Linked DNA regions of Coturnix japonica. Each later gene encodes a partner of the first gene's protein in a complex. Links are inferred from orthologs where the notes say so. Each region holds a gene or a part of one and is shown in the gene's direction. Other genes may lie near its edges.

What was found. The genes of interacting proteins can lie anywhere in the genome.
Region 2: the proteins of BBS4 (region 1) and BBIP1 are in contact, whole or in part, in a cryo-EM structure (PDB 6VBV), measured with the Bos taurus proteins. The link is inferred for Coturnix japonica from reciprocal best matches to the Homo sapiens genes BBS4 and BBIP1. Residues at the interface, in NP_001069424.1 of Bos taurus: Leu210, Leu213, Tyr236, Leu240, Ala241, Ser244, Gln247, Thr248, Ser269, Pro271, Asn274, Asn275, Met278, Phe281, Gly282, Lys284, Tyr298, Leu299, Pro301, Leu302, Asp303, Trp304, Lys305, Ile306, Tyr308, Asn309, Leu312, Leu315, Thr316, Gln318; in XP_003587939.1 of Bos taurus: Met7, Phe8, Arg9, Glu10, Val11, Leu12, Pro13, Lys14, Gln15, Gly16, Gln17, Leu18, Tyr19, Val20, Glu21, Asp22, Leu28, Lys30, Pro31.

What each region holds. Positions count from the first base shown.
Region 1 is NC_029525.1:1,095,125-1,099,519, forward strand, and holds the end of BBS4 (Bardet-Biedl syndrome 4 protein), read left to right. Parts: intron 1-427; coding exon 428-569; intron 570-931; coding exon 932-1,142; intron 1,143-2,046; coding exon 2,047-2,198; 3' UTR 2,199-2,886; downstream 2,887-4,395.
Region 2 is NC_029521.1:23,096,081-23,101,685, reverse strand, and holds BBIP1 (BBSome-interacting protein 1), read left to right. Parts: upstream 1-2,266; 5' UTR 2,267-2,293; coding exon 2,294-2,366; intron 2,367-2,443; coding exon 2,444-2,613; 3' UTR 2,614-2,625; intron 2,626-3,006; exon of another isoform or gene 3,007-3,704; coding exon of another isoform or gene 3,705-3,765; exon of another isoform or gene 3,766-3,861; intron 3,862-4,026; exon of another isoform or gene 4,027-4,236; intron 4,237-4,482; 3' UTR 4,483-4,762; coding exon of another isoform or gene 4,763-4,902; 3' UTR 4,903-4,963; downstream 4,964-5,605. Other genes in the region: PDCD4 (programmed cell death protein 4), read right to left, coding at 3,705-3,765, 4,763-4,902, 5,354-5,464.

The sequences.
Region 1 (4,395 bases):
CAAAGCGTCCCTTAGTCCCCTGTGTGCAGGGATACACGTCTGCGCCTCGGTCTGGCCACGGGCGGCCTCTGCTTTTCCAGGGCTGAGCCTGGGTGAGAAAGCAGGAGCTCCTGGGGCAGGGCCTGCGCCCACCTTGCATTTTACTTTGGCAGACAGTACCTGTGCGTTTTGTTTCTCTGAATGTTCCCCTACGGCACCACACACACATATGGTTTTACTGGGGGAGGGAGCGAGAAGAGGCAGGGGAAATGAATTGCAACGTGTGTTCTGTAGTGTGTCAGCCTGTAAAATACCATCAGTGAGGTGCTGCCGCTGGCCTGACCCACCTGGAGCGCTCTCCTACCAACTGTCAGAGCTGCGGGGAACTGAGGTAATCAGCACAGAGATCACCCCCATATTGAACACATACATCCTGTATTTACTGCAGGTGCAATCCCCTTCTCAACCTGAACTATGCTGTGCTGCTGTATAACCACGGGGACAAGAAGGGGGCCCTCTGCCAGTACCAGGAGATGGAGAGGAAGGTCACTGCACTGAAGGAGAGCAACAGTCTTGATTTTGACCCCGAGGTATGTGCTTAAGAGTTGTCAGCAGGAACTAAATAGCCACATTAAGGCTGGCAACAAACAAGGGGGAAGTTTGACTTCTGAGTCCAATTATTAGGAAGAATTCTGCTTATGAGATTTTCTAAGTAGAGCAGTCACCTGCTGCGAGCTGTGTGCTTCATTTCTGCTCTTTGAAGCCCAGTTCTTCAATCAATATGCAGCAAGACAAGATTCCCTCTTAATTAAGGGAATGAATTAGCGGAGATGTTTCCCTCAAGCACCAAGGCAGTTAGCAGCCCTGCACACAGCTCTTTTTCTCTGTTGACTTCGTTGTTGTCTGAAGTGTCGCTGTCTATGAGAGTCTTCTCTATTTGTTTCTTGAGAAGATGGTGGAGGTTGCCCAGAAGATGGGAACTGCCCTGCAGGTCGGAGAGAGCCAAGTCTGGACGAAACCTGCTAAGGAGTCTAAATCCAAGCAGCGAAGCACACCATCAGGGAAGTCTGCCAACACGCAGCAGCCGTTGGGCTCCAACCAGGCCTTGGGTCAAGCCATGTCCTCAGCTGCCAGCTATGGGAAAAGCATGCAACTTCCACCAGGTACCTCTCTTTTGCATCTCTGTGAAGTGAAACCATGGGAAGGGAGAAGAGAAGAGAAACCTCCCTCACTTTGAGTATGGCATATGTTTAGGGAGGTATTTACTTGCTTACACAGAGCTCCTTTCAGCCTTATAAGGCTTAGGCTTATAGCTGTACATGCTGCAGCTTGCTATGTGGGAGCATCTCCTGAGCCATTGCTTGCAGCCTGACCTCCTCTCACCCCTCAGCTTCCCAGGAGCAAAGCACTAGAGATGCTGCTCAGCACAGCGATGTTCTGTCACTGTATGTTTTGTTTCCTGTGGGTTGGCACAGAAGGAAGGTTGTGTAATCCAGGCCATTTCTGTGGCACCCCTAAGGACCTGCTCCATTTCTCACGACAGCTGAAAAATAAAAGCACACGGGAGTTGAGGCGTTAGCTGAAAGGCCTTGTCATCCACATCAGCAAACCTGGCTCGTAAGATTAGCTGTCAGCTTAAATGTAAGCCTAGAAACAGCTTCAGCGTGGCAGTGTCCTGTTTTGATTTAGTTCTGTAAGTTGCTGTTAACCACGGGGAAGCTCTCTCTGAGACCTCTAAAACTGTGAGCTGAGAACTGCACTGTGGTTTTGGTTACAGTCTGAGTACAAACCAGACGCAGTGGAACTACTTTCCAAAGCTCGAGTTTCTTCTCGCAGCAGCCCAGCTGAACAAGAGACTGCCTTAGCTTCTCTTCAGCAGAGCTCCAAGTGCTGTCATGTCTCTGGCTAGGTAATTTGCAGAAAAGTTGAGTGCTGTTATTAAGTTTCATGCTAGGCAGAAGAAATCAGAAAAAAGAAGAGCTGTGGTCAATTTGTGTCTCTGTGTTGCTTGGGGGTGCTGAAGAAGACACAGAGTGTATGCAGTCATCCTGTAACTTCTCTCCCCAGGTGCCGGAGCATCAGCTTCCCTTGCAAAGCCTCCCTCGCTGCCCCTGGAACCAGAGCCAGGCTCAGAGCTGAGCCCAGAGGAGACCTCAGCGCCAGCAGAGGCCGAGGAGCAGCGGCAGCAGAATCACAAGAGTCGTCAGGCAGCAGAATAGGATGGGCTCGAGGCAGTGGGGGCAGGCGTGGGAAATTCCAGTGCTGCCTGACCTGTGGGGCAGGGGACCTGTCCTCCTGACCCGGAGAGGCTTCACCCCGCTGTCAGTTAGTGTAGATGCGGCATTTCTGTCAGTGATTTTAGCGTGAGGTCTCTGCCTTGTCCCAGGAGTCACGGCAGCAGTCAGAAGAGGACGCTTCATAGTTACTGTGAGTGCAGTCACACCTCACTTCCTCAGTTGGGAGGACGGCGGCTCTGCAGGGAGAGTGCAGCAGCACAGAAGGCAGCCAGCCCTACATTCCAAATTCTTTGCTGAGAAACAGGGTGAATGAGGCTCAGCAGAGCCCCGTGCTCCTGTGATTCGAGTTCTTCCTTTAGAATTAGTATTGCCCAACGTGGGGGAAAGGTTGGTTTGCAGGGAAGAAATGAAGATCTTTTCTGAGAAGCCTTGCCATGCTCAGCTTCAGTGCTGAATTTGTTTTAGTAAAGCAGCAGCCACGTTCTGAAGGACAGAGTTATGGCCTCTTGTGAGAGACTTTGAGGAGATTCAGTTCTGCGAGCTGCAAGAAGGCAAAGCGGCCCCATGGTGAGCAGAGCAAAGAATCTTAATGCCCCTGTGCTACTGAGATGTTTGGGAAGTGTTTGTATCCTCAAAGATTAAAATCTGAGCCTTCCTTTCTCCGCTCCTGTCAGTTTTCTTGCATTTGGATTTATCCAGAGCGTGATGCAGGCCTTCAAAACAACTGTGCTGGGGAACTAAGCTGGGCCCGTCATGCTTTACATAAGGAACCAGTAACTGGGTTAAGTAAGCGTGGTTTTCACCCTCTGCATACAGAGAACTGTGCTGCTGTGGGACTTGGGATTTCACTTTTCCAAGCAGTTCAGCACTTTCTGCCCAAAGAAGCTGTATCTTCAGGAGGGCTCAGCTCATCTGCTAATTAGGCTGATGAGCTTTTAAAAATACAGCTTCTGTTTCATAATCAACACGTGCGGTGGGATGAGGTTTGTGATGGAAAGCTCTCTGCAGCAGCCTGTAAAACAGCATGACCCTGGATAAGTTAACATCCTCCAGCAGTGCTTTCTGGCTGGCTGCTTTTACCCAGAGCAATGGTAGTGTGTTTTTGGGGTGCAGCAGGGACCCGAAGTGCTGCCCTGCCCCCCAGGGGCCACTAAAAGTGGGATCCCTTTGCTTTGTTTTGACTGACAGAACTGCCTGCTCACCTCAAATGTGGCTTTTTGTTTCATCCATCCTCTGCTGGTTGGTTCTCTGTCAGTCCATCCCTGCAGCAGCACTCCTGTAATGCTTTCCTTGTGCTAGGAGCAAAAGGAAACAGAGGTTTTGTGCAGCAGCCGCCAGTTGAAACAAACCAGACAAACTGCAGTGTAATTTAGGTACAATGCGGCCTTTTTATTTGCTTTTAACTTTTTATTCTGCAGATTACTGCAGTGTAAGGGGAGGCCAAGAGTGTGGAGCAGGGGTGGGCTGGGAATGCTCTCTAGCCCCTAAAACCTTTGTTCAGTTTGTATTTTTCTGTACCCATTGCTTGTCATTGTTTGGGCTCACTGTAATGTGTGTCAGGTTTGGGAAGTTCCAGTACAAGGAGCAGCGGGCGGAACAGAGCGGTCACAGCATTGCTGATACAGGCAGCTTTACCCTCCAGATATTTGTTGTAAGCAGGGTAAGGTAACTTCAGGACTGAGGCATTAAGGAACTGCTGTGTGGGAGCAGCCTCATCCCACAGGTGGCTGTGGGAACCAGGACCACTGCTTTCAGAGTATGGCCTCCATGTGAGGCTCTTTGCTCACCCGGCCCCACCTGTACCAACTGTTCCCTTTAGGCTGCTGGGAGCTCTTTCAGGGCAGGTGCTATGCATTACTCCATGGGCTCTGCTGCTTAGGGAGGCACAGTAAAGGTGTTCAAAATGTTCCTTCAAAGGTACAAAGCTTTATGCAGCTGATTAACTCTTCTGTGAAAAAGAACAGTAGCACCATGGTACTCTTTGGATTTGAAGGGAGCAAAAGGGAGCGTCATGTCTGAGGAAGTGTTTTTAAATATGTAATTATGTTGGATAATAAATATGACTGCAGTCCCTTGTGCTGTCCCCTCTCCTCCTCCTGGGGGCTGTGGTGGCATTATTTGCACACAGAAAAGTCATGGTGTATTTATAGAGGCTTTCTGTGCTACCTGGAGGAACAGT
Region 2 (5,605 bases), on another chromosome or scaffold:
TCAGAGCTGAGAACCACTCTCAAGATGAGCAATTCTCTCCAAAGAGGCTGTATTCTTAAATGCCCTTTGTCTGGGGTTGCTGGTTATATGGGACACTCAACCAGATTTTCCTTTTTAAAGTAAGGACTCATTCCAGACTTTCTTGTTGTATGAACAAAGAAAAATGGAAGACATGAAGTTGAAAGGCTCAAGAAATCAGAATACAAATGAAAAGCATTTAAAATGTATGAAGACAAAACCCAAGACCTGTAAACAAATGGGACTGGCTTCACCTGAACGCTTTTTTCTTCTACTTAGAGAGAATGTTTCTCAATACTTAAAATAAATACTGTTTTATGTATGCAGTGGCATATGCAGCAAGCGGCTGCCACGTTATGAAACTCTGGATTCCAGAGATGTGTATTACATCTCTGCTGTCTGTCACACTCAGAATATCTGGGAAGAGGAGGAGGAAAACAAGCTTATCATTTATCCAATTATTGCTGGTTTTGTGGTCGTGAGGCTTTCTGCAGAGTACAAGAATAACTTGTTTGCAACACCAGTAAAATAAGGATGGAACCTGGAGTGCGTTGTCTCTCTCTCGGAGCCTGCTCACCCATGTCAGACCAAGTGACTAACTGGCTTCACCCTGTGGGAATCAACAACCCCAAGGCTCAGCACACAGTGAGGGCACAGCTTCAGACTTGGGTGCCACAAAAAGCCACACACCTATAGTGCCGTCCCACTGCAAGTGCGTGTCTTGCTACCATAACAAAACGAGAGTGTATTACAGAACAACAACCCCCAGGTGCAGGAAATGGAAAAAAACAAACCCAAACCAATCTAACTATGCTCTCCTTAGCAGAACAAAAACTGAGTCTCCATATATAACTGGAAAACTCACAACTTCTGTTGTTGTTCCTCTGTGCCATGCTTTCCCCTCCTTAACTGCAGCTAATATCACTCTAGTGAATGAACATTAATCTTACTCAAAGCCAGAACCATCACTGCTTTTCAGGCACCTTGAAAAGTATGACCCTGAGCACCTGGCAATGCCGTGCCTCTCTCATGCAGCCTTTTCAATCCTGTAGACAAGAACCGTGTTTTCCTTGACAGAAAGAAGTTTCTTAAAAGCAGACTTACCAGGGAGGCTGAGAACAATCATCATAATCACTCTGTCTCGGTGCTACCAGCTTTCCAGATAGGCTGCCAAGCTGGCGTTTGACTAAGAAAACAGGTTTAGCACAAATCTAGATTCCTCTTCTCAAGCACTAAAATGCCTAAGTAGCACATCGAGTTGACCATTGTTTCTTATCACCAAGCAAACAAACCTCGTCGGCAGGAAAACTGCATTAACAAAGCGACTCCCTGCATGACTGAGATGGGCTCTGGTTGCTACAAATGCCGATCCTCCTGGTCACCCACAAGGTCAAAAAACCTACCCCATAGTTTGGCTTCCACGTCTTGCTTTCACATCATTTGGTTTCTCCACAGGCCGTATTTGTTACCACAGGAGTAACTGTTGGTTTCACAGCGCACAATATTCGTTCATAACAGGCTGTCATTTCCATTCGCTTTTAGCCAGAGTTAAGATGTAAGATGGGTCATTAAAACAAAATACCAAATCACTGATCTGCTATTTGTATGCAATGGGACGTCTCTGTCCACAAACATTCAGTCTTCATAAACCAGACCCCAGCCCCTTGTCCTTTCCTTTCCAATCAGGAGGAAAAACTAATTGGCACCAAAGAGTCTGCTTTTCCCACTGAAATCAGCGAGAACACTTCTGTGCACTTCAAAGGGTACCGAAGGATGTCCAAAGCAAGCGTGTTCATTTTATAGGCTCACTAATGCCAATCTTTTGACCCGCAAGTGGAACACATGAATCACAGCAGAAACAGCCCCACTCCTGGGCTGTCAGAAACCAAACCCACAGTGTTATCTTTGGCCCACTGCACAAAAGGCAGGAAGTCAGGGACCCATTTTCAGCCTGTGCAGGTTGTTCTGCTGGCCCCCAACGCACCGAGCAGGCAGGACTTCAAGTGAAGTGGAAGCGGGCTACCTGAGGGACCGACAGCTTCCTACTGTAGGTTGCCTCAGAGGAAAAAGGAAATAACTCTGGAACAATGCAGACAGGCTTTAAATAACTGTCAGGGAGATGCTGCTTACTGGAAGTTGAAGGTTTATCCCAGGTCTTAACATAGAATGCTTTAAGATTCCATAGCAGACAGCAGAGGGAAGCACACAGCCAGCACAGGGCGATGATGAGAAGCTGTTAAGAGCTTTATTGCTGTGTATCCGGTTAGACCCGCGCATGCGTGTGCGGTCAGACGGCGCCATCATGCCGGAGGGGAAGGGAACGATCCGGGAGGTGCTGCCCAAACAAGGTCCGGCCGGGGGTGGGACGGGGACACGGGCAATGCCTGCAGCCGGCTGATGTGTGCGGTGTGTGTGTGCTCCGCAGGGCAGCTGGCGGCGGAGGACACGGCCGGCATGGTGCTGTGCAAGCCCAAAGTGCTGCCCCTCAAGTCGGTGTCGCTGGAGAAGCTGGAGCAGCTGCAGCGCGCAGCGATGGAGGCGATGGAAGCGTCGCGGCCGCCCGAGGGCTCTGCGGGCTCCCAACCGCGGCCATAAGCGGAGTAACAGGTACGGCAGGGAGCGGGGGGACGGCAGGGAGAGGCGAGCAGCGGGCACGGCCCTGTGTGCTATTAGGAACGGCATGAACGTTGGGTGAGCGAGTGTGGAGCCGGCAGCTGCACTCACACCGTGTGGGTCACACCTTGTCTGTCATCTATTACTGCTCTTGTAACACCGAAGGGCAACCTGATCTATAAAGGTGTATGTTTGGTGGCCCTGCCAGGCAGGGGGTTGGAACTACATGATCCTTGAGGTCCCTTCCAACCCGGGTCACTCTGTGATTCTGTGTTGGTACCAAGTGCTGCACAGTGCTCGTGCTTCAGACACTGGAAGAGCGTAGAAGGCAAAAGACAGGCAGGACAGCTTCACAAAAAAATATTTTTAATATGCTTTTTTTTTTTTTTTTACCAGAATTTTTCACTTTTCCAGTTACATAGAAAAAAAGGAGCGGTTTGGTACGTGCTGGCTGGAACATCTCAAACTGACCAGTGGAACAGGTGAATTTGGCCAATGAGCCAGCGCGCTCTTCTTGGGCTCTTTAAGACAAAGAAACAGCTATTTTCCCTCCCAACGCACAGTATTTCATCAGCAGCAACTGAGGGGATGAGAGCAGCTCAACCTGAGCCCCTGCTAGAAAGCTCTGTACAGATCAGGGATTTATTTCCCATTGAAAACACTGTCCTTGAAAGAAACAGCGGCAGTCAGACGTGGATGCAAACATGGAATGATCACTTATGGCACTTATAAAAGGTAGCTTATCTGAAGGCACCGCCACAACGGAGCGGCCAGTTGGTCTGTTTGGATGCCCAAAGAAAGAACTTTTCTTTCTGAAATCTATAAAACTCTTAAAAAAAAAACAAAAACAAAAAAAAAAAAAACCAACTGATCTGTACCCAAAACACGTGCTCTTAAAAATATAGCAACTGTGCTAAGCAACTCGTAGAAATTTGGTATACAATACATGCATATACGTATATACAGGCACACGGACCAAAAAAGGCCTGTGTGTCTGTATATATCTATATAGATGCCTCTCTTTTGTCTCTTTCCCTTTCAACTTCTAAGGCTTCAGCAGTTGGTTCCGACATTCAGTAGCTTTCTAGTTTCAGCCGGCCTCCATCTCCTTCACTCACAAAGCGCTTCCTGCCCCTGGAAAACAACACAAAGTCTATTATCAGCAAGTCTGTGGTAGCATCACTTCTGTCAGTGGGAAGAATCTTCTCTTGGTCTCGAGTTAAATGTGAGGTGTGTGAGACTGAGCAAAATGATGAATCAGATAAAGAATCCTACACTATGTTATTCTCAAGAAGCTCTTCAGATTTCTCCTGTCCCTTTAACACTGAACATTACCATCTGTGCTTCCAAAAGCTGCTCGCTTGAAACCCTACAAATGACATTTTTCTACCCCAGACTGAAACACAAGCTCAAAACTCCTGTCTGTATATTCCTGAGAGCTGAAGCATCATGAAGCTTTTGTTGCAGCAATGACTTTCGGCCCTACCGAACCCTCAGTGCAAGCTGATGTCGAGATTCAAACTGGAAGATATTGAACAGACAGCATTTCTGGTGCAGAATATCATGGATAGTTTTAACATCGACATTTACACATCAAACTTAAAGGTTGTATTCTGACCAATAATACAGAATACCGAGAAGCTACAGTTAAGCAATAATAAAGCAGAAAACTCTACAATATTGGATGTATCTCACAGTTGCCTTTTTTAGTGTATGTAGAGCTTTTGCCACAGAAATGCCTGGTTGCTTTCTGACAAAAACCATGAGAATTGGTGTCTAATCCCAGAACTCTTATTAATTCAGTTTACAATGTTTAAACTGCTTTAAAACATGTTCTTTTTTCCCCTCCAGGTTTGTCTGCATCATTAAAACTCCTGGATCTTCCATCTCAGCACTGCGCTGATCTCTGCCAAGTGAGCAAAACTGAGAGGAGATGCAGGCCTTCATGTGCTGCAGCAGTCAGACACGCTGCCAGGGATTCCAACAGCAGCTTCCTTCCCTCACATATGTATCAACCCTGTTCTCTTTGTTCCTCCATCTCCCCTGGTCTCTGTACCAACCCGTCACACCCAGGTTATAAGATCCTGCTTCCAAACTGAGCTCCAGCACCTCTCTGTAATAAAACAAGTACCTGGAAGGACAAAGGTCTCTCAGTGGTTTGGAGATGATTCCAGCCTGAAAACATTCCTCCACAAACCGCTCGAGCACAGAATAGGAGTGTGGCACATCCAGGTTAATATCTGGTATTTCACAGTAAACTCGTTCGTAGCCCTGTAGTTTAAGAAAGCAAATAATTATTTGGTTGTTCTAAAATTACAATTTTTTAACCATCTTTTTGCACTCAGATGATGGCTTTTTGAATGCAGTTTCATGTATTCTTTAAGCTGTTTCAATCAACTGAAAGCAAAACACCTGCAAATTATACCTTGCTTTGCCACTAATACCAGCCAGTTCCAAGAGCTGGTGTTGCACAACAACACATCTATATGAACACACTGGCTGAGCATTTTAGCTTCTTAAAGTCAGAAATCCAGGCAGTACAGAATGTATACGACAGCCCAGCTGCCAGTAACACAAGGAAGAAGGATTAATTGCTCTGCCCTGTAGATAGAGGGCAGGCCACAGATCTCAAGGAGAGATGCAATAAATTACAACCAGTACTTAAAAGAAGATAGAAGCTACTTGAAAATCTTACCCAGCATTCTTTCAATGCCATACTTACTCTTTTCATTTGGTCCATAGTAATGACAGAAGACCTCGAGAGAGATTTCAGCAAATCCAGCATCATTTTAAAGGTCTTTTCTCCAGTAGACTCCAAAACCATCACGATTGCCTAAAACAAACCATGCAAGGCTTTTAATTAAAGGAAAACAGTGGTTTGAGTGCAGGTTGTGTATCAAAGTGCAAAAAAAGAGTGAATGTATTTCTGGGGAGACAAGTCCATTTGCTACAAGCAGTTCCAATTCCAGAATAT